Linked DNA regions of Anolis sagrei. The protein of the gene in region 2 interacts with the protein of the main gene of each other region in a biochemical or structural test. Links are inferred from orthologs where the notes say so. Each region holds a gene or a part of one and is shown on either strand. Other genes may lie near its edges. The genes, in order: PTPN12, BCAR1 and PTPN1.

Region 1 (11,041 bases), on a different chromosome or scaffold from region 2:
GCGTATAGCAGGGTTGGCAGGACAATGGCTTTATAAACAAGCACCTTGGTCCCGGTCCTCAAACACTCTCTGCTTCATTTGGAGAAATACTGCACTCGCAGAGCTCAGTGGAGAGGTGGCTGCCAAGGTAGTGGAAATGGTCAACATTTTCTAATTTGGTTTAGTCCAGCAGTCGTGTTTCTTTTAATTGTTTTGGCATCTTAAATTTCAAAACAAAAATATGCTATTTTTTAAAACTATCCACAGAGAAGTAATATGTTCCAACTTTTCAGTCAACCTTTTTATTTTTTATTGAATTTCTGGACAGAGTAGCTGTCCACTTTGCATCCTGGTTCCATTTCCTGTTTATATTCAAAATAATTTTGCATCATCACCATGTTGCTCAGCTTCTTTGGGGTGTATTTCCTTCCACTTCTCAAACAGATATTGTAGCGCAGCGCAGCTCAGGTATTGTATTTAGATAAATCTGGATAAATATTTAATTGTGTTGAGTGTGACTACCATGACTGAAATAAAATATTGCAATGTTAAAAACTTCCAGTGATACACAATAATGTAGTCTTTAATTAAATGTTGACAAAATGTTGACCAGATTTTTGTATGGCCAAGTTTTCATAAGAGATTATTTCTGCAATTCATATAGTTACTTGGCCATTCTTGTGTTTTCCATATTTGCTGGCGTATGGCATGCATCATCTTGACAGCATCATCTTTCAAAGTGTTAAATAGTTCAGCTGGGATCCCGTCGTCTCCTGCTGCCTTGTTGTTAGCAATGCTTCTTAAGGCCCATTCAACCTCACTCCTCAGGATTTCTGGTTCTAATTCACTCACCACGCCATCAAAACTATCCTCAATATTATTATCGTTCCTATACAGATTTTCTGTATAATTTCGCCACCTTCTCTTGATCTCTTCAGCTTCTGTTAGGCCTTGCCATCTTTGTTTTTTAGCACGCCCATTTTTTACTGAAATTTACCTCCAATGTTTCTAGTTTTCTGGAAGAGGTCTCTTGTCCTTCCTATTCTGTTGTCTTCTTTCACTTCCATGCATTGCTTGTTTAAAAATAGTTCCTTATCTCTCCTGGCTAACCTCTGGAATTGTGCATTTAATTGGGCATATCCCCCCCCCCCCCATCACTGTTTCCTTTTGCTTTCTTTCTTTCTTGGGCTACTTCCAGTGTCTCAGCAGGCAGCCAACTTGCCTTCTTGGTTTTCTTTTTCTTTGGGAAGGACTGTGATAGATAACCTTTTAACATAAACACTTACTGTCCCTTAAATAAAGGGGCAGACTAATGTTGATTGTATACTCTGTTGTCCATGCATACGCAAGGATGCATATGTCCTTATAACAAAGTTTTTTAATGTTATATCCAGGTATTGAATGTTTGCCGTTTATAAGCTGAAGATTAATCCCGACAGAGGTCCTCTTGGTCAATCGTAAACCAGATCGGGGTATAGGGTGGCAACCTGTGTTGGACGGGGTTGCAGGTCACAGGTCCGAGGTCCGCAGTTTGGGTGTCCTCCTGGACTCATCACTTAGGCTTGAAGCTAAGGCGTCAGTGGTGGCCGGGAAGGCCTTTGCACAACTAAGACTTGTGCGCCAACTGCGACCATACCTCGTGAAGGCAGATCTGGCTAGGGTGATCAATGCCTTAGTCACCTCCAGATTGGATTACTGTAATGCACTCTACGTGGGGCTACCCTGATGCTCCTTATAGGGAGAGGTCAACCCTCCTGTTTAAGGAGCTCAATTGGCTGCCGTTCATTTTCCGGTCCCAATTCAAGGTGCAGGTTCTTACCTACAAAGCCCTAAACGGTTTGGGACCCGCCTATCTGCGTGACCGCATCTCTGTGTACGAACCCACACCTCTTTGTTCATCTGGAGAGGCTCTACTCACGATCCCACCTCCATCGCAAGCGCAATTGATGGGGACGAGGGATAGAGCCTTCTCGGTGGTGGCCCCTTGACTCTGGAACTCGCTCCCCAAGGACATTAGGCTGGCCCAACTCTGGCAGTCTTCAAGAGGAGCCTGAAAACGTTGTTCCAGTGTGCCTTCCCAGAATAAGGAAACCCTAAGCAACATGCCCCTAATCGCACTTTACTAATGATCTAGGATTGTCTGCTCGCTCCATCTCTCTCCAAATACCTATCCTAGTTATATGTCACCTTGTCACGCCCAGCATTTTTAAAAAAAGATTAATTATTACATTTGACCCTGCCATAGGTTTTTAATGCGTTGTTGTGTTATTGTTACTGTTTATTGGTTTGTTTATGAGTTAGTTTATTGTCTGTATTATTGTTGTTGCTTTTTACTGATGTATTTAGGCTCGGCCTCTTGTAAGCCGCACCGAGTCCTTCGGGAGATGGTAAAAAGGTAAAGGTAGTCCCCTGACATTAAGTCCAGTCATGTCTGACTCTGGGGTGTGGTGCTCATCTCCATTTCTAAGCCGAAGAGCCGGTGTTGTCCGTAGACACCTCCAAGGTCATGACTGCATGGAGCGCCGTTACCTTCCCGCTGGAGCGGTACCTATTGATCTACTCACATTTGCATATTTTTGAACTGCTAGGTTGGCAGAAGGTAGGGCTGACAGCGGAAGCTCACGCCGCTCCCCGGAATTGAACCTGTGACCTTTCAATCAACAAGCTCAGCAGCTCAGTGCTTTAACCCACTGCACCACCGGGGGCTCCCTTTCGGGAGATGGGAGGATTATTATTATTATTATTATTATTATTATTATTATTAGGAGTGTGTTGATGTTACTATTAGAATCAGAGTAAAGTTGTGATGCAAGCTCCTTATATTACCTGTTAACTTTTCAGATCCAAATCATGCAATCTGATATTAAGTACATACATTTGGAAGAAAGACATAAGGAAGTAAATGTGACAAAATTTGGTTCATATTTGTAAAAGTAACGCCTGCTTTCTCTATGCTGCCAAAATAATGTGAACAGACTTGTGGAAAGAGATCTACTGAAAATAATGGAAGGAGCTATGAAAATGTTACCTGTAATATTGTACCTCTAATACGGAAACCTAGGCAAGTCATCACTATACTGGTGTGAACCAAGTTTTATTTGCAAAGCAATATGTGTGTGTTTCCAGACTTTGACAGAACATTGACCCTCATGTTCCCTTTATTAGTACAGATTAGTACAAATGCAGTGTACTTACTTGTGCCTTACTAACATTGCTTATTGTGTTTGGCTTCAATTGCCTGCTTCCTGAAGAGCAAGAGAGAAATAAACTTTATGTTTCAAACTTATAAACTGCCTGGTACAAAAGGTCAGCAGGGTTGCATACCATAGCAGATGCCCAGTATAACTGCAAGTTGGGAGGCAACTCTGTGGATGTAATTTAAAGCTGCTATAGTCTAAATTTTAAAAAAAATGTGAAATTGAACTGTACGTTGCAGAAAGTCTAGAGACATAATATACCGATAGTAGCACTTTTTCTTTGTTGTAGTCGTGTCTATAACTTAAAAGCACCACTGAGTGTGAGAATGCACTCGTAGACTGTCATCCCGTTTGGATATCAGCCAGCACGTCAACGACTTAAATCAAGAAATAGTTTTCTAAGATCTACAGAGACACTCGCTGGAACACTTCAGCAAGTGAGAGTCCAAAAGTGGCAGGCTCAAACCCAGAACCTCAATCAATGGCTGATACCAAATGAGAGACTCCCCCCTGGGCACACAGAGGACTGGGCGACTTGGAAGGCGCTGAACAGACTGCGCTCTGGCACCACGAGATGCAGAGCCAACCTTAAGAAATGGGTCTACAAAGTGGAATCCACGACATGCGAGAGCGGAGAAGAGCAAACCACTGACCACCTGCTGCAATGCAACCTGAGCCCTGCCACATGCACGATGGAGGACCTCCTTGCGGCAACACCAGAGGCACTCCAAGTGGCCAGGTACTGGTCAAAGGACATTTAATCAACTACTCAGCTCGCAAACTTTGTGTTTTGTTTGTTTCTTTGTTTTGTTAAAGAATGCAATGCAACTGGTCTGCCCCTGACACGATAAATAAAATCTGCTTCCTTGCAGAGTCTACATTTGAGATTATTATTATTATATAGCCCGAAAAACCTACAATATCCCAGTGATTCCAGCCATGAAAGCCTTCGACAATACATTGTCCCCTTTCAGTTTGGCTAATGCAGTGGTTCCCAGATGTTTTTGCCCTTAGAATCATAGAATCAAAGAGTTGGAAGAGACCTCATGGGCCATTCAGTCCAACCCCCTGCCAAGAAGCAGGAATATTGCATGCAAATCACCCCTGACAGATGGCCATCCAGCATCTGTTTAAAAGCTTCCAAAGAAGGAGCCTCCACCACACTCCGGGGCAGAGAGTTCCACTGCTGAACAGCTCTCACAGTTCTTCCTCACGTTCAGATGGAATCTCCTTTCTTGTAGTTTGAAGCCACTGTTTCGTGTCCTAGTCTCCAGGGAAGCAGAAAACAAGCTTGCTCCCTCCTCCCTGTGGCTTCATCTCACATATTTATACAGCCTTCTCTTCTTCAGGCTAAACATGCCCAGCTCCTTAAGCCGCTCCTCATAGGGCTTGTTCTCCAGACCCTTGATCATTTTAGTCGCCCTCCTCTGGACACATTCCAGCTTGTTAATATCTCTCTTGAATTGTGGTGCCCAGAATTGGACACAATATTCCAGGTGTGGTCTAACCAAAGCGGAATAGAGGGGTAGCCTTCAACTCCCAGAAGTCCTAACAGCTGGTAAATTGGCTAGGATTTCTGGGAGTTGTAGGCCCAAAACATCTGGGGATCCCAGGCTGAGAACCACTGTGCTAGTGGTCCCCGTTGGAGGTCGCCTCTAACCCAGAAAGACTCAGCCTCTGTTGTCGAAGGTTTTCAGGGTGGGACAAAGGACTCTTGTCTGCTGGAGCTAGGTGTGAATGTTTCAACTGACCACCTTGATTGGCATATAATGGCCTGACAGTGTCTAGAGCAAACTTTTGTTGAGAGGTGATTAGATGTCCTTGTTTGTTTCCTCTCTGTTGTTGTGCTGTTGTAATTTTAGAGTTTTTTTTAATACTGGTAGCCAGATTTTGTTCATTTTCATGGTTTCCTCCTTTCTGTTGAAATTGTCCACGTTTGTGTATTTCAATGGCTTCTCTGTGTAGTCTGACATGGTGGTTGTGAGAGTGGTCCAGCATTTCTGTGTTCTCATATAATATGCTGTGTCCAGGTTGGTTCATCAGGTGTTCTGCTATGGCTGATTTCTCTGGCTGAAGTAGTCTGCAGTGCCTTTCATGTTCCATGGTACCTCTCTATTCTGTTTTAGTTAGACCTCGCCGGCAATACTGTGCCCAATTCTGGACACCACAGTTCAAAAGAGATATGGAGAAACTGGAAGGTGTCAAGAGAAGGGCAACTAAAACGATCAAAGGTCTTGAGACCATGAATACCTATGAGGAGTGTCTTAAAGGGTTTCATATGTTTAGCTTGCAGAAGAGAAAGTTGAGAGGAGACATGATAGTCGTGCATAAATATGTGAAAGAATGTCATAAGTGGGATCAAGGAAAATGAAAGGCACTGCAAACTATTTCAACCACTATTTTCAATCAAGAAGTCAGCCATAGCAGACCACCTGATGAACCAACCTGGACACAGCATAGAATCAAAGAGTTGGAAGAGCCATCCAGTCCAACCCCTGCCAAGAAGCAGGAATATCGCATTCAAATCACCCCTGACAGATGGCCATCCAGCCTCTGTTTAAAACCTTCCAAAGAAGGAGCCTCCACCGCACTCCGGGGCAGAGAGTTCCACTGCTGAACGGCTCTCACAGTCAGGAAGTTCTTCCTCATGTTCAGATGGAATCTCCTCTCTTGTAGTTTGAAGCCATTGTTCCGCATCCTAGTCTCCAAGGAAGCAGAAAACAAACTTGCTCCCTCCTCCCTGTGGCTTCCTCTCACATATTTATACATGGCTATCATATCTCCTCTCAGCCTTCTCTTCTTCAGGCTAAACATGCCCAGCTCCTTAAGCCGCTCCTCATAGGGCTTGATCATTTTAGTCGCCCTCCTCTGGACACATTCCAGCTTGTCAATATCTCTCTTGAATTGTGGTGCCTAGAATTGGACACAATACTCCAGGTCTGGTCTAACCAAAGCGGAATAGAGGGGTAGCCTTCAACTCCCAGAAATCCTAACAGCTGGAAAATTGGCTAGGATTTCTGGGAGTTGTAGGCCCAAAACATCTGGGGATCCCAGGCTGAGAACCACTGGGCTAGTGGTCCCCGTTGGAAGTCGCCTCTAACCTAGAGAGACTCAGCCTCTGTTTTTCTCTACTCCCCCCCCCTTCCTCCTTTCCTATCTCTACCACCTCCCCCCCCCCCCCTTAAATCTCATTGGTACATCCCAGCCTCCTGCTCAACAAACACTGGAAGATCCCTTCGGAAGAAGGGGGAACAATTTAGGGGTGGGGAAGAAGAAGAAGAAGAAGGAAGTTTCTCCAGAGGTAGGAAAGGGAGGGGGAGGAGGAAGAGGGCGGGACGGGCGAGCCGCTGGGCCAATGGCAGCGACCTTCGGGGCGGGGCATCCAATCGCCGGGCCGCATAGGGAGGAAGAAGGCGGGAGCGCGCGGACGGCACTGCGCCTGCGCGGGAGGAAAAGGCGTGAGAGAGTGTGTGAGGCGGAGAGGAAAGGGGGGAGCGGAGGAAATAGCCGCGTCGCTTCGCGTGAGGGAGGGGATGGAGCGGAGCCGAGCCCTGGCCGGGAAGTTGTGCTGAGGGAGGGAGGAGGAGGAGGAAGGGAGGGAGGCCAGGGCGAGGCGGAGGAGAAGGAGAAAGCCGGGTCTCTTCCGCCCAGAGAGGCCAGGAGGGAGGATGGAGCAAGAGGAGATCCTGAGGAAATTCATCCAGCGCGTCCGGGCCATGAAGGACACCGACCACAATGGGGAGGACAACTTCGCCACAGACTTCATGGTAAGCCTGCTGTGAGGGGAAGGGGGCGCCCAGGGGGAGAAGGCCTGCGGGGGGGGGGGAGGGTGGGGAGGGAGGCTCGAGGCCCTTCCTGGGTGCCTCCCCCTCCCCCTTTCTTTCCCCCTTCTCCATCTCTGAAAGGAAGCTGCTGCATCCTCTTCCCTTTCCTCGCAGCCTTTTCCTGTGGGTGTGTGCCTTTGCTAGGAAGCCTTGTGCAAAAGATAGACACATATTCTGGCTCTTTGCTTCTTTCTCCCCTCCTCCAGAAGTCCCCCCCCCCTTTTTTTTTGAAGGCACGCCTCTACCTTAAGAAGGGAGCAGCCCAGAGGGATTTCTTCCTTTCTGGTTTTGTTACCAGGTACCAAGGAAGGATGTGTGTGGAAATCGGGGATCACCTTCCCCTGCAGTTGGGGTCTATCAGGGCCCCTTTACTACTACTAATAATAATCTGTATTTATACCCTGCTGCCATCATCATCATCATCTTATATAAATAAAAATGTAATAATACTAATACTACTACTACTAATAATAATCTTTATTTATACCCTGCCACCATAATAATAATAATAATAATCATCATCATCATCATCATTATCATCATCTTATATAAATAAAAATGTAATAATACTAATAATACTACTACTAATAAGAATCTTTATTTATACCCTGCCACCATAATAATAATAATAATCATCATCATCATCATCATCATCTTATATAAATAAAAATGTAATACTACTACTAATAATAATCTTTATTTATACCCTGCTACCATAATAATAATAATCATCATCATCATCATCATCACCACTATCTTATATAAATAAAAATGTAATAATAATACTAATAATAATAATCTTTATTTATACCCTGCTACCATAATCTTCATCATCATCTTATATAAATAAAAATGTAATAATAATACTAATCTTTATTTATACCCTGCTACCATAATAATAATAATCATCATCGTCATCATCTTATATAATTTTTTTAATAGTAATACTAATAATAATATTTATTTATACCCTGCTACCATAATAATAATAATATTTATTTATACCCTGCCACTATAATAATAATAATAATAATCATCATCATCTTATATAAATAAAAGTGTAATAATAATAATCATCATCATCTTATATAAATAAAAATGTAATGTTCGTTTGTGGGATTAACATAACTCAAAAACCACTGGACCAATTGACACCAAATTTAGAGACAATACACCTAACAACCCAATGAGTGACCATCACCCATAAAAACACTGAAAAACACAGTGGAATAGACTTTAAAAAGCCAAAAAATAAAAAATACATTACAACGCATGTGCAAAACCACATATATACACAAACACACACATATATATATACACACACATATATACACACACACATAGAATCATAGAATTAAAGAGTTGGAAGAGACCTCATGGGCCGTCCAGTCCAACCCCCTGCCATGAAGCAGGAATATTGCATTCAAATCACCCCTGACAGATGGCCATCCAGCCACATATACACAGATTGGACCACAGCAACATGTGGCAGGGGATGGCTAGTATATAAATAAAAATGTAATGTTCGTTTGTGGGATTAACATAACTCAAAAACCACTGAACGAATTGATACCAAATTCGGACGCAATACACCTAACAACCCAATGAGTGACCATCACTCATAAAAACACAGAAACGCACAGTGGAATAGACTTTAAAAAGCCAAAAAGTAAAAAATACATTACAATGCATGTGCAAAACCACATATATACACAAACACACACATATACACATATATACACACACACACATATATACACAGACTGGGCCACAGCAACGTGTGGCAGGGCATGGCTAGTACATAAATAAAAATGTAATGTTCATTTGTGGGATTAACATAACTCAAAAACCACTGAGCGAATTGATACAAAATTCGGACACAATACACCTAACAACCTAATGAGTGACCATCACTCATAAAAGCACTGAAAAACACAACAGAAGGGACTTATAAAGCCAAAAAAATAAAAAATACATTACAATGCATGTGCAAAACCACATATATACACAAACACATACATATACACACATATATATACACACACATATACACAGACTGGGCCACATCAATGCGTGGCAAGGGATGGCTAGTAATCTATATAAATAAAAATGTAATGTATGTTTGTGGGATTAATATAACTCAAAAACCATTGGACGAATCGACACCAAATTTGGACACAAGACACCTATCAGGCCAACGAGTGACCATCACTCATAAAAACACTGAAAAACACAGCAGAAGAGACTTTAAAAGTCAAAAAAGCAAGAAGATGCTACAGCGCATGCGCAAAAATGACTCCACCTGGCAAACAAAACACACAATAGCATATCCACACTCTCTTCCAGACTACAGCTCCCAGCATCCTCTAGACCAAGCCCTTTAGGAGGGGGGGGGGATCCAAATGCATTGCTTCCAAGCTGCAAGCTTTCTTCTTGGATTTCTTTGAGAGCATCCTAATCCCTGCAGATTTCCAATTACCTATTCTTGGACTGCAACTCTCAGCAATCCTCCAGATAGATAGATTGGAAAGAGATAGATAGATCAGGAGGACTGCTGGAAGTTGCAGTCCAAGAATAGATAGAGAAGGAAGAAAGGGGAGAAAGAGGAAGGGAAAGAAAAAGGGGGATGGAAGAGGAAGAGAAGGAAGGAAGGAAAAAAGGGAAGGAAGGAAAAAAAGAAGAGAAAGAGGGAGGGAAGGTTGACCACAGCAACACCTGGCGAGTACAGCTAGTAATAATAATAAAATCAAACTGCAAAGGCTCTGGCATAAACCAGTACAGGTGGTCCCAGTGGTCATTGGCACACTGGGTGCCGTGCCAAAAGATCTCAACTGGCATTTGGAAAAAATAAACATTGACAAAATCACGATTTGTCAACTGCAAAAGGCCACCTTACTTGGATCTGCGTGCATCATTCGAAAATACATCACACAGTCCTAGACGCTTGGGAAGTGTTCGACTTGTGATACGAAATCCCACATATAGATCTTGTTTGCTGTGACATACTGTGGTTCTCTGTCAGTAAAATAATAATAATAATAATAATAATAATAATAATAATAATAATACACCTCAGCCTGCTTTGAATGGGAATTAGGGTCCTCTTGCCACAACCTCTTCTATTTTTTTCTTTTTAATCATTTTTTTATTATGGAAAGAGACAATTTTTATACATACATTAAAAAAAGATTTGTGTGAATTGGGGGTGGTGGGGGGTGGAGGAAGTAAAGAGGGGAAGGAAGAGGTAGAGGAGCGGAAGGAGATAATGGAGGAGAGAGAAGGAAAGGCGAAAGGGGAGGGATAGGATAGGCCAACCTCTTCTAATTTCATGATCATTATTCCCCTTACGTTTATCCCTGGGCCACTCCTGAAGCCATTTGTTTGTGCCCTTAGATGCGGTCTCAAATTGTATTTATTCAAAAGCTTCCTGTTCTTGCAGGAACAGCCTTTGTACATTAATGAATACATGGCTATATATGCGAGTAGTGGGTGACCCCTAAGAGCAATGTGAGTTTTTGTAACAATTGTTCTGATTGCTTCCCACGGAACCACAAGCCCTCAGTAAACTAATTGGAAATATTAATCTTTGTCTCGGCTCATCTCGTTCAGCTGGGCTGCAAGGCTTTGGCCATGTTGCTATGCGAGATCTGATCCCTTGATGGCTTGGGAAGACACATTCTGATGCAAGTGTCAAATGGAAGGGTTGCCCAAAATGCAAGGAGGCGGCTGCAGGATGTTGCAAAAGACCAAGGGGCTGTTGAAAGATGTGTCAGGTCTGAGGCGTGGAAGAGGAAGTGGACTTTAGGAAGTGGTTTCCTGATCCCGGATGAGGTGGCATGGGAAAGAGGAATGGCTCTTCTGGCTGAAAGGCTTCTATTGTTCCTGAGAGGAATCACAGAGGATCAGGAGAAGAGACGAAGCCTCACAAGATCCTCTCGGATTGAAGTGCTGTACTTCATTTCCACTTAATTTGATACACATTTTCCAAGGCTTCGAATCATGTATTGCTTTTTGAATATTTGCTTGCATCTATAATATAGT
Region 2 (11,324 bases):
GCATCCTCAGAGGTAATGAGGTCTGTTGGAAGTAGGAAAAATGGGTTTATATATCCTTGGAATGACCAGGGTGAGACAAAGGACTTTTGTTTGCTTTCATTTATATAGATGATGATTATTATTATATAACTCCCATTTTCCCAGTTTCCAACAAACCTCACAGCCATAGATGCAGGTGAAATGTCAGGAGAGAATGCTTCTGGAGCATGGCCATACAGCCCAGAAAACTCACAACAACCCAGTGATTCCAGCCACGAAAGCCTTCGACAATACAGGGATAGAACACATTCCCCCTAGAATCATAGAATCTTAGAGTTGGAAGAGACCTCCTGGGCCATCCAGTCCAACCCCATTCTGCCAAGAAGCAGGAATATTGCATTCAAAGCACCCTCAACAGATGGCCATCCAGCCTCTGTTTAAAAGCTTCCAAAGAAGGAGCCTCCACCACACTCCGGGGCAGAGAGTTCCACTGCTGAACGGCTCTCACAGTCAGGAAGTTCTTCCTCGTGTTCAGATGGAATCTCCTCTCTTGTAGTTTGAAGCCATTGTTCTGCGTCGTAGTCTCCAGCAAAAGGAATTAAGAGCGACAACTGTCCTTCCTTTGGGTGGCCAAATAATCCCATCTCCCTTCACTAAAGCATGATTTCATAGGCTTCTGGTAATTTGATCCTGCTGAGGATCAAAACCTCCAGTTCGCATTATGAAAAGGGGGTCTTCGAGGGGCTTTGGCACAGCTCGGCACGCAGACTGAAGTCTATCATAGTGCCTGCTCCCAACTTCTTTCTCTCCCTTCTTCTCAAAGGTGCCACGACAGCCTTTCGTATGGTGATATTCCAAACTAAGATAGTTATATCTTTGACATATCATTCTTTTCGTTCCTCCAAAAAGGCAAAGCGTGTTCCCAGTGACCCTTTCCTTTCCAGAGCGAAATGGGAGGGCTTTCCCAGAGCAGTCCGCCCTCATTTCCCCCCTCTTTTTTTCTCCCGGCTTGGTTCTTTTTTCCACCTTGGCTGATTTTGCCTTGCGAAGGGAGCTTTCCCAATGTCTTGGGGGCCTCAGGGTTTCGACACAGTGGGGCCTAGTTTGTTGTGATTCAATCTCAACTCGGTTGGAGTTTCCTCCTTGAGTCGAAGGGAGGGCCAAAGGGCTTGGGAAGCAAGTAACCCTTTGGCATAATTAAAAATGTAATGTTCAATGTATTGTCGAAGGCTTTCATGGCTGGAATACAGTTCAGAAAACTCACAACAACCCAGTGATTTTGGATTGTGAATGTTGTTGTTGGCCTCCTTGATTAGCACTCAAAAACAAGGGAATACCAGACAAGAAACCATCAGGGCCAGCAAATCACCTCCCAACAAAGGATTCCCCCCAAGCGGTAAGAAGCCAGACCTTGAAACTGCTAGGCCATTAAATGCCAATCAAGGTGGCCAATTGAAACATTCATAAGTACCTCAAACAGACAAGAGTTCTTTCTCCCACCTTGGACATTATTCCAAAAAACCTCACAACCTCCGAGAGATGCAGGCGAAACGTCAGGAGGGAATGCTTCTGGAACATGGCTAGACAGCCCAGAAAACACACAACAACCAGTGATTTGGGGTTGTGAATGTTGTTGCTGGCACTAGAACAACACTCAAAAACAGGGGAAATCCAGACAAGAAACCATCAGGGCCAGCTAATCACCTTCCAACAAAGGATTCCCCAAAGCGGTAAGAAGCCAAACCTTGAAACTGCTAGGCCATTGAATGCCAATCAAGGTGGCCAATTGAAACATTCGCATCTACCTCAAACAGACAAGAGTTCTTTCTCCCACCTTGGACATTATTCCAAAAAAACTCACAACCTCTGAGATATGCAGGCGAAACATCAGGAGAGAATGCTTCTGGAACATGGCTAGACAGCCCGGAAAACACACAACAACCCAGTGATTTTGGGTTGTGAATGTTGTTGGCACTAGAACAACACTCAAAAACAGGGGAATTCCAGACAAGAAACAATCAGGGCCAGCAAATCACCTCCCAACAAAGGATTCCCCAAAGCGGTAAGAAGCCAAACCTTGAAACTGCTAGGCCATTGAATGCCAATCAAAGTGGCCAATGGAAACATTCGCAACTACCTCAAACAGACAAGAGTTCTTTCTCCCACCTTGGACATTATTCCAAAAAACCTCACAACCTCCGAGGATGCCTGCCGAAACGTCAGGAGAGAGATGCAGGCGAAACGTCAGGAGAGAATGCTTCTGGAACATGGCTAGACAGCCCAGAAAACACACAACAACCAGTGATTTTGGGTTGTGAATGTTGTTGTTGGCACTAGAACAACACTCAAAAAACAGGGGAATTCCAGACAAGAAACCATCAGGGCCAGCTAATCACCTCCCAACAAAGGATTCCCCAAAGTGGTAAGAAGCCAAATCTTGAAACTGCTAGGCCATTGAATGCCAATCAAGGTGGCCAATGGAAACATTCGCAGCTACCTCAAAGAGACAAGAGTTCTTTCTCACACCTTGGACATTATTCCAAAAAAACTCACAACCTACGAGATATGCAGGCGAAACGTCAGGAGAGAATGCTTCTGGAAAATGGCCAGACAGCCCGGAAAACACACAACAACCCAGTGATTTTGGGTTGTGAATGTTGTTGTTGGCCTCCTTGATTAGCACTCAAAAACAAGGGAATACCAGACAAGAAACCATCAGGGCCAGCTAATCACCTCCCAACAAAGGATTCCCCAAAGCGGTTCGAAGCCAAACATCAGGAGAGAATGCTTCTGGAACATGGCCATACAGTTCGGAAAACTCACAACAACCCAGTGATTTTGGGTTCTGAATGTTATTGTTGGCCTCAAAAACAGGGGAATTCTGGACAAGAAACAATCAGGGCCAGCTAATCACCTCCCAACAAAGGATCCCCCAAAGCGGTAAGAAGCCAAACCTTGAAACCGCTAGGCCATTAAATGCCAATCAAGACAGCCAATTGAACCATTTGAGCCCCCAGTGGCGCAGTGGGTTAAACCCCTGTGCCGGCAGGACTGAAGACTGACAGGTCGCAGGTTCAAATCCGGGGAGAGGCGGATGAGCTCCCTCTACCAGCTCCAGCTCTTCATACGGGGACATGAGAGAAGCCTCCCACAAGGATGATAAAAACATCAAATCATCTGGACGCCCCCTGGGCAATGTCCTTGCAGACGGCCAATTCTCTCACACCAGAAGCAACTTGCAGTTTCTCAAATCGCTCCTGACACGGAAAAAAAACCTACCTCAAACAGACAAGAGTTCTTTCCCCCACCTTGGACATCATTCCACAGGTATATAAACCCCATTTTCCTAGTTTCCAACAGACTTCACAACGATAGATGCAGGCAAAACGTCAGGAGAGAATGCTTCTGGAACATGACCATACAGCCCAGAGAACTCACAGCAACCCGCTGTTCTATCCCTCTTTGCTTCCCATCTGTGTTTTTTGAAAATTCAGAATAATATGTATATATTAGGAAGGGATTAAGGTTGGTTAAAAGAATGAAGGGAAACAGAACCTCATTCTGGGAGAAAGGCCGGATATAAATCCAACAGACACACTAAGGAAATACATAAAAATGGGCGCCGGTTTCCATCCCGGGCCAAAGAAGTCCGACCTTGGCTTGAGGAAGGACGCAAAATCCCGAAAGCACACAAATGCACAAAAAACACACACAGAGAATACACACACACAGTCCCATCTTCCAAGGTCGAAGTGCCCAGAGCCTTGGCTTTCTCTTTTTTCTCCAAGGCATCTACATTGGGGAATAAATGCAGTTTAGTATCAGTTTAACCATGCTAAGGAATCTTGGGAGTTGTAGTTTGGCAAGACTCCAACAGAGAAGGCTCCAGACCTTCCCAAACTATACCTCCCTGGATTCTCTTCACCATTGAGCTGTGGCAGTTAACAGTAGTGTCACAAACTGCATTGAGGACAAAGTCAAACCTTTCCAATTTGGATCTGTCTTTCCTTTCTCTCAAAGATGGGGCCAACACTAGGGAGGGGGGGGGTAGAGAAGAGATTGAAGCCTAAAACGTTGGCTAGAGAAGAGATTGAAGCCCCCCCCCCCCCCCAAGAGAAGGACTAAGGGGCCAAACCCTTTCCTTCCTTGGAAAGCAGAGCCTTCCTCCTTGCCTACCCAAAGCGCATTCCGTGCGCCCTGGCCTCCATTTGGAGAGGTCCTGGGGGGACCCAAAAGGGAAGGCTCTCCCTCGCCAGCCCGGCGACCCAGCCCCACAAATGACCCACCGATGGATAGCTAAGAGCCCCCTCTTTCCCCCCACGTCGCCCTTTCCTCACCAGGTAGTTCATCTTCCCGGCCAGGCCGCGCGCAACGGAGGGGCGGCCGCAGTGACCGTGCGCCCTTAACGCATCGTCCCAGGCTCGGTTCTCTTCCTCCTCCTCTCCTCCTTCTCCGACGCCTAAGCCCGGCGAGTGATGTAAGCCAAAGGAGGGGAAAAAGAGAGCAGAGAAAGCAGGAGAGTTGCTGGCTAGGACGCCTCTTCCATTGGCTGCTCGGGAGAAAAGGAGGCGGCGCCGGGAGGCAGCGATGGGACGGCGGGGAGAGGCTGCCTCCGCCTGGCACCCGGCAGGGATGGCGGGCCAAGGAGGAAGAGGAGGGAGGGAAGGAGGAGGGCCAAGGGGAGGGCGCCTCTACGTTGCCCCCGCCTCCAACTCCTCTCTGCCTGCCTCTCCAGCAAGGGACAACGGGCAGGGATCCGCAAAGGTCGCCTAGTCTGACCCCCAGAGCAAGCAAGAGAATATCCCTGCTAAGTATGCACAGAGTATGATTGTCATTATCATTCACAGGGAACCAGAGGTTCCCAGAAGACATCACGGCTCTGTTTCACCATTGCCTCACCACCAGCTACTTTCAGTGGGACAATGAGTTCTATGAACAGAAAGATGGAGTAGCTCTGGGGAGCCCTCTCAGCCCGGTCATAGCTAATTTCTACATGGAACACTTTGAAGAACAAGCCCTGGAAACAGCAACCAAAAAGCCCACGATATGGTTCAGAGATGTGGATGACACCTTCACCATTTGGAGCCACAGAGAAGAAGAACTCAACAGGTTCCTGGACCATCTGAACAGCATCCACCCAAACATATGGTTCAGATATCTGGATGACACCTTCACCATTTGGAGCCATGGAGAAGAAGAACTCAACAGGTTCCTGGACCATCTGAACAGCATCCACCCAAACATATGGTTCAGATATCTGGATGACACCTTCACCATTTGGAGCCATGGAGAAGAAGAACTCAACAGGTTCCTGGACCATATTAACAGCATCCACCCAAACATATGGTTCAGATATGTGGATGGCACCTTCACCATTTGGAGCCATGGAGAAGAAGAACTCAACAGGTTCCTGGACCATCTTAACAGCATCCACCCTAACATCCAGTTCACTATGGAAAAAGAAAATGAAGGAAGACTGCCTTTTCTAGATGTCCTCGTCATCCGCAAACCAGATCAACAATTGGGTCACACCGTCTACAGAAAACCCACACACACAGATAGATATCTACATAAAAACTCCAACCATCACCCAAGTCAAAAAAGAAGCACCATTAAAGCCTTGGCAGACCGTGCAAAAAGGATCTGCGAAGCCCACCTCCTCCAAGATGAACTGAACCTCAACTGGGCTCTCCAGGCCAATGGAAACTCCACCTCAGACATCGGAAGAGCTGCAAGACAACCGAGAAGAAGCCACAAGAGTCAAGATGAAGATCCACCCAGAGGAAAAGTGTTCCTGCCAGACATCAAGGGAACCACTGATCGCAGAGGGAAGCTGATGAGGAAACACAACATACAAACTATCTACAAACCCACCAAGAAAATCCAACCAATGCTATGTTCAGCAAAGGACAAGAGGGATCCTCTCACTTCTGCAGGAGTCTACCGTATACCATGCAGCTGTGGACACGTCTACATAGGGACCACCAAACGCAGCATTGCCCAAACACGCATCAAGGAACATGAAAGGCACTGCAGACTACTTCAACCAGAGAAGTCAGCCATAGCAGAGCACCTGGTGAACCAGCCTGGACACAGCAGATTATTTGAGAACACAGAAATGCTGGACCACTCTCACAACCACCATGTCGGACTACACAGAGAAGCCATTGAAATCCACAAGCATGTGGACAATTTCAACAGAAAGGAGGAAACCATGAAAATGAATAAAATCTGGCTACCAGTATTAAAAAAACTCTAAAATTACAACAGCAAAACAGCAGAGAGTAAACAATCAGGCACATCAAATCACCTCTCAACAAAAGATTCCCCCAGGAACTTCCAAGCCATTAAATACTAATGAAGGTGATCAGTTGAAACATTCACACCTAGCTCCAGCACACAAGAGTCCTTTGTCCCACCCTGGTCATTCCACAGATATATAAACCCATTTTCCTAGTTCCAACAGACCTCACTACCTCTGAGGATGCTTGCGAAACGTCAGGAGAGAATGCCTCTAGACCATGGCCATATTGCCCGAAAAAAACCTACAACAACCCAGAGTGTTGGGTACTTTGTGTTGTAGGCCTGAGCATGCATTATATCATTGCTATTGTTGTCGTCATTTTTAACAGGATATCCCAGAGGGTTATGTAGTCTAATCCAGGAGCAGTGCAAGGCAGAGAGTTAGGTACTGTGTGTTGTAGTCCTGAAGATGCACAGTGTATCATTGCTATTGTTGTTGTTGTTCACCGGGATCTCCAAGTGTCATCTAGTCTAGTCCAGGAGCAGTGCAAGGACGCCTCTACGTTGCCTTCCCAGTAAGGGAGAATGGGCAGGGATCCCCAAAGGTCGCCTAGTCTATCCCCAGGGCAAGCAAGAGAGTATCCCTCCTAAGCATGCACAGAGTATGATTGTCATTATCATTCACAGGGATCTCCAAGGGGTATCCTGTCTAATCCAGGAGCAGTGCAAGGAAGAGAGTTGAGTACTGTGTGTTGTAGTCCTGAGCATGCATTATATCATTGTTGATGTTGTTGATGTTAATAGGGATCTCCAAGGGCTATCCAGTCTAATCCAGGAGCAGTGCAAGGAAGAGAGTTTGGTACTATGTGTTGTAGTCCTGAGCATGCATTATATCATTGTTGTTGTTAACAGGATATCCCAGAGGTTTATGTAGTGTTGAGATTAACTTCACAATTCAGCAGCAGATCAGTTGCACAACTTCAGCGCTTTCCAGTAGCTTCTTCCTGCACAGTATTTTCAGTCAACTGCTCCCACAACCTGCAGTCACTCTGGAACCTTTTACAGACACTTGAGCACATGCCTGGCCATTGTCAGTTTTACTATTGTCTTTCCCCCAGTCTAGATGACATTACAAACTTACCACAGCACACAGTTATATCTTGTCTTAGCAGACAGGTTCTTTTAATCAATTACATAGAGCCTTTGACGAACAACATCACAGCACAAGGAGAGATATACACTGTACATGACTTCCTTATATACAATTCTATACAATTACACATAGCAATCTCTGATTGGTTCCCAACTCATTAACTTAACTCAGACCCAGGATTACATCATTCACAATCACCTGGACTAGGCCAGAACACATTCCCCAAATGAAGTTCCCTTTATACAGTTAATGCATGACTCAGCATTTCCAATAGAAGCCCATTAGCAGTGCATGACTCAGCTATAATACATTACAATACATTGTAAAACCTGACATGTAGTCTAATCCAGGACCAGTGCAAGGCAGAGAGTTGGGTACTGTGTATTCTAGTCCTGAAAATGCACAGGGTATCATTGCTATTGTTGTTATTGTTCACAGAGATCTCCAAGAGCTATCCTGTCTAATCTAGGAGCAGTGCAAGGAAAAGGGTTGGGTGCTATGTGTTGCAGTCTTGAAGGTGCACAGTGTATCATTGCTGTTGTTGTTGTTCACAGGGATCTCCAAGGGTCATCTAGTCTAGTCCAGGAGCAGTGCAAGGACGCCTCTACGTTGCCTCCCCCTCCAACTCCCCTCTGCCTGCCTCTCCAGTAAGGGGGAATGGGCAGGGATCCCCAAAGGTCGCCTAGTCTGACCCTTAGGGCAAGCAAGAGAGAATCACTCCTAAGCATGCACAAAGTATGTTTGTTATTATCATTCACAGGAATCTCCAAGGGGTATCCAACTAATCCAGGAGCAGTGCAAGGAAGAGAGTTGGATACTGTGTGTTGTAGTCCTGAGCAGGCATTATATCATTGCAATTGTTGTTGTTGTTTGTTAACAGTGTTCTCCAATGGCTATCCAGTCTAATCCAGGAGCAGTGCAAGGAAGAGAGTTGGGTGCTATGTGTTGTAGTCCTGAGCATGCATTATATCATTGCTATTGTTGCTGTTGTACTCCTGAGAATACACAGAGTGCTGCTGCTCTTGTTGTTGGTACTAGGAACACCCAAAGGTCACCTAGTCTAACCCACTATCTCTAAAGCACTTTAAAACCATTTCAGATAAATGTTTTTGATGCGATTGTTTCTTTAAATGTTTATTTACCAATGGTTCAATAAATAAACAAAAGTAATTGTTTATTTAACTGTTGCTTTGATTGTATTCTGTTTTATAGTCAGCACAGTTGAACACCTCTGGGTGTTTCCCACATGGAAAGCTTTAAATAGCCTTAGGGCTCTGTTCCCATGCAGCTTAAACCAGGTCTGGTGATGGTTGATCACTGCTGTGACAAGTCATTTCAGTAGGCAAGATTCTCCTTCCCAGTTATGCAAGAACCAGTAGCAAGCAATGCATGCATGTATCCACACTGCAGAATGAATGCAAGTTGATACCACGTTGAGTGCCCTGGCTCCATGCTTTGGAATTTTGGAAGTTGTTGTTTCACATGGCTTTTCACCTTCTGTGCCAAAGAGGGCTGGTGCTTCTCCAAACTACAACTTCCAGGGGACTATGGGACTCTGGTGGGAGGGATAAGTGGGTATGTTTTCTATATCATGATTTCTATATTTCTATATTTCTCCCTGTGTGCCTGACCTTTTCCTGACCCTTTTGCCCAATTCCCCTTTACTGAAAAAATGTATAAAAATATAAGAAGCCACCCCGGTGACCCTGGAAAGGAGGAAATCCTCTCTGGATGTAGGTGAACTACAACTCCAAAACCAAAGGACAGTGCCCACCAAACCCTTCCAGTATTTTCTGTTGTTCATGGGAGTTCTGTGTGCCAAGTTTGGTTCAATTCCATCGTTGGTGGAGTTCAGAATGCTCTTTGATTGTAGGTGAACTATAAATCCCAGCAACTACAACTCCCAAATGACAAAATCAATTTTTTTGAGTGAAGGACATACATTGAGTTGTTAGGTGTCTTGTGTCCAAATTTGGTGTCAGTTCGTCCTGTGGTTTTTGAGTTCTGTTAATACTACAAACGAACATTATATTGTTATGTATATAGATTTAAGTCGTTGACGTGCTGGCTGATACCCAAACAGGGGATGAGCTGGAGATGTCTCTGCCTTGGTCCTTTCACTATTGGCTGCCACTTCCCGGCGGATGTCAGGTGGTGCAATACCGGCTAAGCAGTGTAATTTCTCCAGTGGTGTAGGGCGCAGACACCCTGTGATAATGCGGCATGTCTCATTAAGAGCCACATCCACTGCTTTAGCGTGGTGAGATGTGTTCCACACTGGGCATGCATACTCAGCAGCAGAGTAGCACAGCGCAAGGGCAGATGTCTTCACTGTATCTGGTTGTGATCCCCAGGTTGTGCCAGTTAGCTTTCGTATGATATTGTTTCTAGTGCCCACTTTTTGCTTGATGTTCAGGCAGTGCTTCTTGTAGGTCAGGGCACAGTCCAGAGTGACTCCCAGGTACTTGGGTGCGCTGCAATGCTCCAGTGGGATTCCTTCCCAGGTAATCCTCAGGGCTCGGGATGCTTCTCTGTTCTTAAGGTGAAAGGCACATGTCTGTGTTTTAGATGGATTAGGGATCAGTTAGTTTTCCCTGTAATAGGCAGTAAGAGCACCTAGAGCTTCGGAGAGCTTCTGTTCAACCATCTCAAAGCTCCCTGCTTGGGTGGTGATGGCACGATCATCAGCATAGATGAAACTCTCTGTCCCTTCTGGCAGTGGCTGGTCATTTGTGTAGATGTTGAACATGGATGGAGCAAGCACGCTCCCCTGAGGCCGGCTGTTCTTCTGTTTCCGCCATCTGCTTCTCTGGCCCTGGAACTCAACAAAAAAGCTCCTGTTTTGTAGCAGGTTTCCTATGAGACGGGTGAGATGGTAGTCCTTTGTGATCTACAGAGACACTCGCTGGAACACCTCAGCAAGCAAGAGTCCAAAAGTGGCAGGCTCAAACCCAGCACCTCAATCCATGGGTGATGCCAGATGAGAGACTCCCCCCTGGGCACACAGAAGACTGAGCGACTTGGTGGGCGCTGAACAGACTGCTCTCTGGCACCACGAGATGCAGAGCCAACCTTCAGAAATGTGGCTACAAAGTGGAATCCACGACATGCGAGTGTGGAGAAGAGCACACCACTGACCACCTGCTGCAATGCAACCTGAGCTTTGCCACATGCACCATGGAGGACCTTCTTGCGGCAACACCAGAGGCACTCCAAATGGCCAGATACTGGTCAAAGGACATTTAATCAGCTACCAAGTTTGCAAAATGTGTGTTTGTTTGTTTTGTTCTGTTAGAAATGTAGTACAATGTTCTGGTTGCAGATGACACGATAAATAAATGTATATAGATAGTTGGCATTTCTGTCTTTTTTCCCATCGTTGAGCATATAGGATCCTTGCCGCTGTTAATATGTACTGCGGTTTTGTCTCATGCTCCATTTTTATTTTGATAGTCCAACAATCCCCATAATCTAAGTTCCTGCTTGAAACTGATTCTTGAATTAAGCCTCTCGGATTTTTTAGCCTTTTTAGTATGGAACTTGAAAGGCGGTGGGAGACGTTGCCAAACGACCATAAGGCAAAACGTGCCTGGATGCCATGGATCGAAAGTGGGCAGAAGCTTTCACAGAAGTTGGCCAAGGGTTGGTGTTCCTTTCTCTGTTTGATCGCTCTCCACCTGAGGACAACCTTATCTGTGGGTGGTTCGTGTACAAACACAGAGCCAACAGAAGGTAAATGGGCGCTGCGATGTTTTCTGAACGGTTATGGAGGAGAGGTGGCTCATAAATGAGCGCACTCACAGCCTCAATGGAACAACGAGGATGTTTTCAGGATGTGCATTGAAACATTCGATCAGCTTAGATCAGTGTTTCTCAACCTGGGGGTCGGGACCCCTGAGGGGGTCGCGAGGGGGTGTCAGAGAGGTCGCCAAAGACCATCAGAAAACAC
Region 3 (10,655 bases), on a different chromosome or scaffold from region 2:
CATCTTTTAAGTGTAGCTTCACTTACATAACAGCAGGCTTTGAATAGTATAGTGCAGGCCCGTAGCCAGGATTTCGATTCGGGGTGGGGGGAGGGGCTGAGTCCAAGTGAAAGAGGGTCTACCCTAGCAAACCTTTTGCATCGTTACCCCAATACCTCCATGCATATGGGATATATTGAGTAGGGTGATCAGATCATGATATGAATAAACATAACAGTTTAAATAATGCACCGGTAAGGCCTTTTCACGGACCACCATGAGAATTAGGGGGGGGGGGCTGAAGCCCCCCAAGCCCCCCCCCCCCCAGCTACATGAAAGGTTAACACCCCTGTGGTGCTTGTTTTGCAATCCGTGCCCCTGTTCAGAAGATTTCACCTCACTTTTTGTCCCTGTAGGAATTGAATTTTGAAAAATGTGGTTTGTTGTGGAAGCAAGGATTGGTGAAAAAGCTTCAGTGGAGACACCTTTTCCCCATGATAACTCTTTCAGGAGTGAATTTCCCTGCCAAGAGGTGGATTTCTCTCACTTCCGGTTGTCTCAGACCCATTCTTAACCGAGTCTGATGTTTGTAACTAGGAGACTAACTATAACGCATTACAACCAACTGGTTTGCCAAAGGCAAGAGGTTCTTTTAGCATCAAGAAGAATAACCACACACCCATGGGTAAGCTTTAAAGCTTTCTTACCAACTTTCACAGAAAAGGGCATATGGTTGGTATATACAAAAAGGAGCAGGAAAGTCTCAAGATCTTCATTTAGTTGTTGAGGGCACTGGTATGGTAGAAGAGAGATCCATTCACTGGGCCACATACACAGAACCATTCTGGTTTGAAGTCTGTGTTCAAGCTCACTGAGCGCAACCCAGGGAATTTTATTTATACGTGCAAAGCTTTTAAGTCTATGGGTAATTTTACACCCCTGTCTTAATGTGTGCCTGAACCTTATGTTTTTTGAGGCCAAGTTCTCAACGCTTATCAACTGTCCTTGGACATTTCCTCAAATACAGATATTTATACCAACTGAAGCCTCCTTAATTTCTCAAGCTTGTAATGCCCTAGTAACTAACAACGTTTGCCAAATTCGTGTGAAGTTTAACTTTGTAGCTTCTTGAGCATGGGCAGAGAAGAAGCACTCCTTGTTACAGCTGTTTTCTGTTGCTTTTCCCATATGATAACTGAAACTAAAAAGCAAAAACCAACAATCCTTTTTAAAAGATTGCTATTATAGCAGTTAGAAGTCCAATAAAGGAACCTCTCCCCTCCCTGTAAAATGTTGACCATAATTCGCTGTGTCCGACAATAAAGGTATAACTCCAATATGTTGCGATTATAATTTAAGCAAGGATAACTCAATTTCTTTTGCATTTGCAAATCACTATGGACTGTAATGGTGATACTGCCTAAAGAATAGAAAAATAATATAAAGTGCAGGGACATTCTGTGGCCCAGGCTGCCAACATCTTATCATCTCCTTTGGAAGACAGGAGAAGTGTGTGTTTTGTACCAAAGATTAGCAGCTTATAGAGTCAAATGATTTTTTTTAAAAATGAACAAGCCACAGGAAAATGTTTTGTGAATTCCCTCAGCACCTTGTCTTTGATGATTTCCAGGAATTTCAGTAGTAAGTGGAGTTTAATTTTTGTTCTTATGTGTCTATTACTTGTTCTGTTCAGGCATTGAATGTTTGCCTTTTTTTGTGATTGGAATCCGTCCTGAGTCCCTTCGGGGAAATAGGGCGAAATATAAATGAAGATTTATTTGTCTGTCTCTCTGTTTGTTTGTTTGTTTGTTTTAAGAATCAGCATACTATGGTGGTCTTAGAGTTGGACTATGACTCTTCAACTGTTACAGTTCATTACAATGGAATCTAGGAGTTGCGGTTTGGGGAAGCACCAGCACTCTTTGCTAGGGAAAGCTAAAGACTTTGTGAAATGACAGCCCCCATAATCCCATAGCATTGAGCCAGGACACTTAAAATTATGCTAAACAGCTTTAATTGTACAGTGCAAATGTACACAGGGACAATACATTGGTGCTTCTTTTGTCAATTTCATGGCTCATTGAGTCTGAGGGTGTGATTCAAAACAACAGGCTTTAGCACAGCTGGTTAATCACCAGCTGCAATAGATCTTATCCATTGAAAGGTTGGCAGTTTGAAGCCCAGGTCGGGGTGAGCACCCAACCTTCAGCCCAGCTTACTGTCCACCTAAACAGTTGAAAAACAGCTGTGTGCTGTGAGTAGAGAAATTAGGCACTGCTTTAAGCGGAGAGGTATTTTATGGCACCATAAAGGAAATACCAGAAAATCCGGTCAGTGGTTCCCTTGAGCTATAGTAAGAACACTTTTCCCCTGGGTGGATCTCTGGGCCCTTCCACACAGCCCTATAACCCAGAATATCAAGGCAAAAAATCCCACAATATCTACTTTGAACTGGGTTATCTGAATCCACACTCAGATGATGTGGGATTTTCTGCCTTGATATTCTGGGATCTAGGACTATGTTAAAAGGCCTTCAGATAACCCAGGACCCTTCCACACAGCCCTAAATCCCAAAATATCAAGGCAGAAAAGCCCACAATATCTGCTTTGAACTGGGTTATCTGTTCTTACCATACATCAAGGGAACCACTGACCACATAGGGAAGCTGATGAAGAAACACAACCTATACTCTATATTCTGGGATATAGGGCTGTGTGGAAGTGCCCTAAGAAAATCCAACAAATGCTAAGTTCTGCAAAGGACAGGAGTCTAATGTTTATACCATGCAGCTGTGGACAAGTCCACATAGGGACTACATTTATTTATTTATTTATTTACAGTATTTATATTCCGCCCTTCTCACCCCGCAGGGGACTCAGGGCGGATTACAATGTACATATACATGGCAAACATTCAATGCCATAGACACACAACATATATAGACAGACACAGAGGCAATTTAACATTCCAATTTTTCATGAGGGTGTTCTGGCCACCAGGGGAGCTGTTGCTTCACCATCCATTTGTGACACTGATAAAGTACTTCCTCATTCTTTACAGGCTTGCTGGAGATTTTTATGGCATTGTAAATTAGTTAAATTAGCCTCCCCATGTAGGTGGTACCTAAATTTCCTACTTGACAGATGCAATTGTCTTTCGGGCTGCAAAGATCGGCAGCAAGCTACACAAATTGGTCAGACACTCACTCCGACCTGGGCTGGCTTTGGACTCATGACCCTTTGGTCAGTAGTGATCTTAATGCAGTGACTCCCAGCCAGCTGTGCCACATTGAACTGGAATATATGACTGTGTGGACTCAGATAACCCAGTTTAAAGCCAATACTGTGGGATTTTCTGCCTTGATATTCTAGGATATAGGGCTGTGTGGAAGGACCTGTTGTCTTTACTCTCGTGGCTTGTTTAACATTCTTGATTATTACTACCTGTCCCCTGCCACGCATTGCTGTAGCCCAGTCTGTTGATCTCGAAAATAAAGTAATGAGAAAGTGTTGGTTTCTAATATATGTGATTTCTTTATGCTTGTGGATAAACAGTATTTCTTGCTGTTTCTTTGTCAGTGTTGATGTGGAGAATGTCTGGTTTGCCCACCCTGGAACATGCAAGATATCATTGTCCTTCTTTAGGGGTCTCTTTCAAATCTATGATACTATATCTGTGTGTCAATCATATCTATCTATCTATATCTATGGCTGGATGGCTCTTTGTCAGGAGGACTTTGATTACGTTTTCTTGCCCTGATGAAAGGAGTTGGATTGGATGGCCTTAAGTATTTTCTGTTGGTCATGGGGGTTCTGTGTGGGAAGTTTGTCCCGATTCTGTCATTCGTGAGGTTCAGAATGCTCTTTGATTTTAGGTGAACTGAGAATCCCAGTGACTACAACTCCCAAATGTCAAGGTCTATTTTCCCTAAATTCCATCTGTGTTCATATTTGGGCGTATTGAGTGCTTGTGTCAAGTTTAGTCCATCCATCATTGTTTGTGTCCACAGTGCTCTCTGGATATAGGTGAACTACAACTTCCAAACTCAAGGTCAATGCCCACCAAACCCTTCTAATATTTTCTGTTGGCCATGGGAGTTCTATGTACCAAGTTTGGTTCAATTCCATTGTTGATGGAGTTCAGAATGCTCTTTGATTGTAGGTGAACTATAAATCCCAGCAACTACAACTCCCAAATGACAAAATCATAATTTTTTGAGTGATGGTCACTCCTTGTGTTGTGAGACCTTTTGCTGCCAAATTTTGTTCATTAGTTCTTTTGTTTTTAAGGTACTCACTGTGCTATCGCACACTGGGCCTGTGCATAAGACTGTAGACAGGACATAAATTCTGTGTGCCCAACGGGACGCCGGGTCTGCCTCAGATTAAAGGCCTCCCCAAAACAAAGTCTTTAGATTGCTTAAAGGTTCAACAAAGTTCTTTATTGATGAAAACAAACAGGTACTTTAAAGCTTTCTTAACAGTCTATTGGCTCTCTCTCAATCTTGTCCACAGGGAACAGGCACTATCTTCTTAACTGTAATTAACTAATGGGGAAATCCTTAACTTCTAATCTGGGCAGTCTGTACTTGCCTCTGTTGGCATAGAGCCTCTACACCCGGTACCAACTGCTTCTGGCTTCCGCGAGATACCCTTACCAGACAGAGCTTTGTAGACTTCCAGGGGAAAAGAAGGAGTCCAGGTTGCTGTGATGGCTGGCTGAAGTCCCTCAGCAGAGGAGCTGTAAGGCTGTATAACTCCAGTCAGGCTGTAGGCTATATATCTCCCCGGCTAAGCCGTAGAAGATGAAGCTTTCTACAGGAGCTCTTCGTTTTATGTCCTGTGCGAAAGGCTTCTTTGTGAGAACTGACTCAAAAAGGCTACTATTCCCTCCAAAACTCAAAAAGGAGTGGGACCAGGGAACCTAACTATAACTGACAGGTGGCTTGCCTTATGATTGCAAACTATAACAGGAAGCCACCCTGCTGCAAAAGCCCAAGCCTGGGATTGCAAACAAACATTTAATGCAAAGCAAACAGAATTGAAGCTCCTGGTACAGCTGTACCAGCACAGATTGTCTGCCTTGATATTCTGGAATATAGGGCTGTGTGGACAGACCCTTAGTTCAAAGCAGATATTCTGGGATATAGGGCTGTGTGGAAGGACCCTTTGTCTTTACTCTCGTGGCTTGTTTAACGTTCTTGTTTAGTATCTGTACTCTTTGCTGAGTTTTTACAATAATGTCATATGATTATGAAGGAAGGCAATTTTGTATACAGCACTTTCTTCATTTTCAGGTCTAAGGAAAGGGCTAGACAATGTTGCTATTCCGGGGCAACACATTGTCAGTATGATCCGGTAGGCTGTTAGGAATTGTGGGAGTTGAAGTCCAAAACACCTGGAGGGCTCAAGCTTGCCCATGCCTGCTGTAGGATCATACTGACCGGTAGGCTGTTAGGAATTGTGGAAGTTGAAGTCCAAAACACCTCGAGGGCTGAAGCTTGCTCATGCCTCTTGTAGAGTATTGTGGGCTGAGAGTGGGCAGTCTGCACATGCCCAGAGGCGCTCTTGACGCCTTGGCTTTGCGGCTGCGTGGCGTCAGTGGCTCTTGGCCCTCCCTGTTCCCTTCCTCCCAAAGAAGCCCAGCCTTCTCTTAAACCCTCCTCTTGCTGCTTCTCTCTCCGGGAGGCCGGGCTTCTCTCCTCCCCTTCCTCCTCCTCCGAGCCGCGTGCGTCGTTTCCCGTGGGCTGGGAAAAGCCAGAGAAGGAAGGAAGGAAGGAAAGGAAGGGAAGGAAGAAGGGAAGCGGAGCCGAGGAGGAGAAGAAGAAGGAGGAGGAGGAGGAAGAGGAGGCGCCTCTCCATGCAGAGCAGGCAGGCAGAGCCGAGGCTGGAAGAAGAGGAGGAGGAGGAAGAAGAAGAGGAGGAGGAGGAGAAGGAAAAACCAGGGTCCGAACGAGAAGAGGCAGGAGCAGAGAAGAAGAAGAAGGGGGCCGGCCAGGCCTGGCCCCCCAACAGCATGGAGATCGAGAAGGAGTTCCACCGGATGGACGAGGCAGACAGCTGGGCCGCCATCTACCAGGTAAAAGGGGACTGGACCCCATTGTCTCACCCTTTCCCCGCCTTCTCAAGCTGGACAAAGCTCGGCCCTTCCCTTCCTTTCCCTCTCGCCTTCTTGCCCTGGCTTTCCTGGCCTTGGAAATGGGTCTCCTCCCCATTTCTCACCCCCAGGACCCACTTTCCCCATCCACTCCAGTGTGTGCAAGTGCAAACCCAGTAGATGCAAGCCCCCACTCATCCTGCCCTTGGTTTATGGCAGCTATGGGCAAACTTGGGCCCTCCAGGTGTTTTGGACTTCAACTCCCACAATTCTTAACAGCCGGTAGGCTGTTAGGAATTGTGGGAGTTGAAGTCCAAAACACCTGGAGGGCCCAAGTTTGCCCATACCTGGTTTATGGGGTGCTTGCATTGACATAGCTGCTGATAAGGGATTGTGTGAAAGTGTGTATCTTTGCACTAGCCATCCCCTGTGACCCAGACTGTGTATATATGTTTTGTGTGTGTATTTGTGTATCTCTCCCTAAGAACCATCTAGGCCAGTGTTTCTCAACCTGGGGGTTGGGACCCCCATGGGGGTCGTGAGGGGGTGTCAGAGGGGTCACCAAAGACCATCAGAAAACATAGTATTTTCTGTTGGTCATGGGGGTTCAGTGTGGAAAGTTTGGTCCAATTCTATCGTTGGTGGGGTTCAGAATGCTATTTCATTGTGGGTGAACTATAAATCCCAACAATTACAACTCCCAAACGACAAGGTCTATTTTCTCCAAACTCTACCAGTGTTCACATTTGGGCATATTGAGTATTTGTGCCAAGTTTGATCCAGATCCATCATTGCTTGAGTCCACAGTGTTCTCTACAAGTAGGTGAACTACAACTCCAAAAAACTCAAAGTCAATGTCCACCAGACCTTCCCAGTATTTTCTCTTGGTCTTGGGAATTCTGTGTGCCAAGTTTGATTCAATTCCATCATTGGTGGAGTTCAGAAGGCTCTTTGATTTTAGGTGAACTATAAATCCCAGCAACTCCAGCATTACCAAATGACAAAATCAATCACCCCCAACCTCACCAGTACTCAAATTTGGGCATATTGGGTATTTGTGCCAAATTTGTTCCAGTGACTGAAAATACATCCTGCATATCAGATATTTAGATTATGAATCACAACAGTAGCAAAATTACAGTTGTGAAGTAGCAACAAAAATAACATTATGGTTGGGGGTCACCACAACATGAGGACCTGTACTAAGGGGTCGCGGCATTAGGAAGGTTGAGAACCACTGATCTAGGCACTTTAAGATTGTCTGGAGAGGCTCTCAGTCCCGCCCCCTTTGCAGATACGATTGGCGGGAACGAGAGACAGGGCCTTCTCAGCGGTGGCCCCTCGGCTATGGAACGCCCTCCCTAGGGATATAACACTTCGAAAGAGAGTCGTGTGATGGGACTCTTCATTTTATCTTCCCACTAGCCGCCCCTTGCCACACGTCGCTGTGGCCCAGTCTGTGTATGTGTGTTTTGTGTGTGTGTTTATGTATCTCCCCCTATGAAGCACTTAAGATCATCTGGAGAGGCCCTGCTCTCAGTCCCGCCCCCTTCGCAGATGCGATTGGCAGGAACGAGAGACAGGGCCTTCTCAGCGGTGGCCCCTCGGCTACATTGCTGTGGCCCTGTCTGTGTATATGTGTTTTGTGTGTATGTTTATACATATCTCCCTATGAACCATCTAGGTGCTTAAGATCGTCTGGAGAGGCCCTGCTCTCGGTCCCGTCCCCTTCGCAGATGCAATTGGCAGGGAGAGACAGGGCCTTCTCAGCGGTGGCCCCTCGACTATGGAATGGCCTCCCTAGGGATAGTAGATCGCCCCCCTCCCTCCTAACATTTCAAAAGAGCTGCTGTTTGAGCAGGCATTTGCAGACACAGTGTAACAGACTAATTGAGATCCACCGAACGATTGGACGATGCAACAGAAAAATGATTTTAGTGATGAGACGCTGAGGACTTTATGGCTTTTATTGCTTTTATACGGTTTATATTATATGTAATGTTTTTAACTGTATTTAATGTTGTTTGGAGGCATTGACTGTCGAATGTAAACCACCTCAAGTTGCCTTTGGGCTGAGAGAGGCGGTATATAAATATGATAAATAAATAAATATATATATGTGCATATATGTGTGTTTGTGTTTATATATGTAACTAGCTGTCCCCTGCCACGGGTTGCTGTGGCCAGCCTGTGTATACATGTTTTGTGTGTATATGTGTGTATATATTTGTGTATATGTGTATATATACGAGTGTGTTTGCGTATATATGTGGTTTTGCACATGTATTGTAATATATTTTTTATTTTTGGCTTTTTAAGTCTCTTCCGCTGTGTTTTTCAGTGTTTTATGAGTGATGGTCACTTGTTGGCCTGATACGTGTATTGTGTCCAAATTTGGTGTCGATTCGCCCAGTGGCTTTTGAGTTATGTTAAATTAGTCCCACAAACAAACATTAGTTTTTTATTTATATAGACTAGCCGTCCCCTACCACACGCTGCTGTGGCCCAGTCTGTGTATATGTGTTTTTTGTGTGTATATATCTGTGTATATGTGTATATATGCGTGTTTGCATTTATATATGTCGATTTGCACATGCGTTGTAACATATTTTTTATTTATTTATTTTTACTTTTAAGTCTCTTTTCTTTGTGCTTTTCAGTGTTTTTATGAGTGATGGTCACTCGTTGGCCTGATGCGTGTATTGTGTCCAAATTTGGTATCATTTCGTTCAGTGGTTTTTGAGTTACGTTAATCCCACAAACGAACATAACATTTTTATTTAGATAGATAAATGGAAGATGGCACATGCACTGCATTCTTGGCCATATCTCTGAAAATAATAATATTTTTTCATGTTATTTCTAGCAGTCTTTCAACTGCCATAGTTCAATGCTATGTAATCATAAACTTCTTAGTTTTACAAGGTCTTTTATTTGGGTGGTTGTGAGTTTTCTGGGTGGTATGGCCATGTTCGAGAAGCATTCTCTCCTGACGTTTCGGCCACATCTATGGCCAGGCATCCTCAGAGGTTGGGAGATATATTGGAACCTAGAATATATTTAGTTTCCATATGTCTGTGGAAGGTCCAGAGTGGGAAAAAGAATTATTGTCCGTGAATGTTGCAATTAATCACCTTTGGTTAGCATTGAAAAGCCTTGCAGCTTCAAGGCCTGGCTGCATCCTGGCTAGGGAAATCCTTTGTTGGGATGTGATTAGCTGGCCCTGATTGTTTCTTGTCTGGAATTCCCCAGTTTTCAGAGTGTTGTTCTTTATTTACTGTCCTATTTTTAGAGATTTTTTTAAAATACTGGTAGCCAGATTTTGTTCATTTTCATGGTTTCCTCCATGCATGAAAGTGTGGTGGGACTCTTCTTTTTACCTTCCCTTGGAAAAGGGCATGCACTTCATTCTTGGCAATATCTCTGAAATTCATAATATTTTTCATGTATTTTTTCACTGCAATATCTCTGAAATTCATAATATTTTTCATGTTTTTTCACCGCAATATCTCTGAAATTTATAATATTTTTCACGTTTTTTCACTGCAATATCTCTGAAATTCACAATATTTTCCATGGTTTTTTTTCACTGCAGTATCTCTGAAAATCGTATTTTTCATGTTTTTTTTTTACTGCCAAAGGTCATGCATTGCATTCTTGGCAATATCTCTGAAAATAAAAATATTTTTTCATGTTATTTCTAGCAGTTTTTTAACTGCCATGGTTCAATACTATGGAATCATAGACTTTGTAGTTTTACAAGGTATTTTAGATTTATTTTGCTTACATATATATATTGTGTTTTGATTCTGTTGTGAACCTCCCTGAGTCCTTGTGGAGAGGTGGTGGAATATAAATAAAGTTTATTATTATTATTTGAAACATAACAAGATGAATCCATAGCAGACAAGATCACTCTGCTGGCTGTTGTATTGGATCACATGTTGGACACTTCCCAAGTGTCTAGGACTGTATGATGTATCAGAGAATAATGCATGCAGATCCCAGGAAGGTGGCCTTCTGCAGCTGGCAGATGGTAATTTTGTCAGTGTCGATTGTGTTTAAGTACAGGCCAAGGTCTTTAGGCACTGTAACCACTGGGACCACCTTGACTGGTTTGTGCCAGAGTCTTTGCAGTTTGATCTTTAAATCCTCATATAGTGTCAGCTTTTCCAGTTGTTTCTTATTATCTTAAGATTATTATTATTATTATTATTATTATTATTATTATTATTATTTTCCCTACCAATTATAAGAGGCATCCGCAGTAGATTTAATGCAGTTTGACACCACTTGGAACTGCCCTGGCTCCATGCTATGAAATTGTGTGAGTTGTAATTTTCATGAGGCACCAGCAAACTCCTATCCTTTGGCCAAAAAGGATAAAGGCCTTGCGCAACTACAGCTCCTTTGAATCCATAGCATTGAGCCACAACGGTTTAAACTGAAGTCAAACCACATTAAATCTACATTAAATGTAGCCCTATAAGAGAATAAAAAATCAAGGGTACTCTTTTCCATCTTGGGGTACATAAACATTGTAGAATGAGTGTAATTTGACATCATAGAAGTTGTACAT

Evidence for each region.
Region 1: the proteins of BCAR1 (region 2) and PTPN12 form a complex in vitro, tested with the Homo sapiens proteins (3 studies listed by BioGRID and IntAct, with this or other methods). The link is inferred for Anolis sagrei from reciprocal best matches to the Homo sapiens genes BCAR1 and PTPN12.
Region 3: the proteins of BCAR1 (region 2) and PTPN1 form a complex in vitro, tested with the Homo sapiens proteins (3 studies listed by BioGRID and IntAct, with this or other methods). The link is inferred for Anolis sagrei from reciprocal best matches to the Homo sapiens genes BCAR1 and PTPN1.

Annotation. Positions count from the first base shown.
Region 1 is NC_090025.1:85,806,628-85,817,668, forward strand, and holds the start of PTPN12 (tyrosine-protein phosphatase non-receptor type 12), read left to right. Parts: upstream 1-6,616; 5' UTR 6,617-6,844; coding exon 6,845-6,943; intron 6,944-11,041. UniProt on the Homo sapiens protein: Dephosphorylates a range of proteins, and thereby regulates cellular signaling cascades. Dephosphorylates cellular tyrosine kinases, such as ERBB2 and PTK2B/PYK2, and thereby regulates signaling via ERBB2 and PTK2B/PYK2.
Region 2 is NC_090028.1:4,789,201-4,800,524, forward strand, and holds the start of BCAR1 (breast cancer anti-estrogen resistance protein 1), read right to left. Parts: upstream 4,626-11,324; 5' UTR 4,329-4,625; coding exon 4,317-4,328; intron 1-4,316. UniProt on the Homo sapiens protein: Docking protein which plays a central coordinating role for tyrosine kinase-based signaling related to cell adhesion. Implicated in induction of cell migration and cell branching. Involved in the BCAR3-mediated inhibition of TGFB signaling.
Region 3 is NC_090024.1:222,416,516-222,427,170, forward strand, and holds the start of PTPN1 (tyrosine-protein phosphatase non-receptor type 1), read left to right. Parts: upstream 1-5,654; 5' UTR 5,655-5,839; coding exon 5,840-6,058; intron 6,059-10,655. UniProt on the Homo sapiens protein: Tyrosine-protein phosphatase which acts as a regulator of endoplasmic reticulum unfolded protein response. Mediates dephosphorylation of EIF2AK3/PERK; inactivating the protein kinase activity of EIF2AK3/PERK.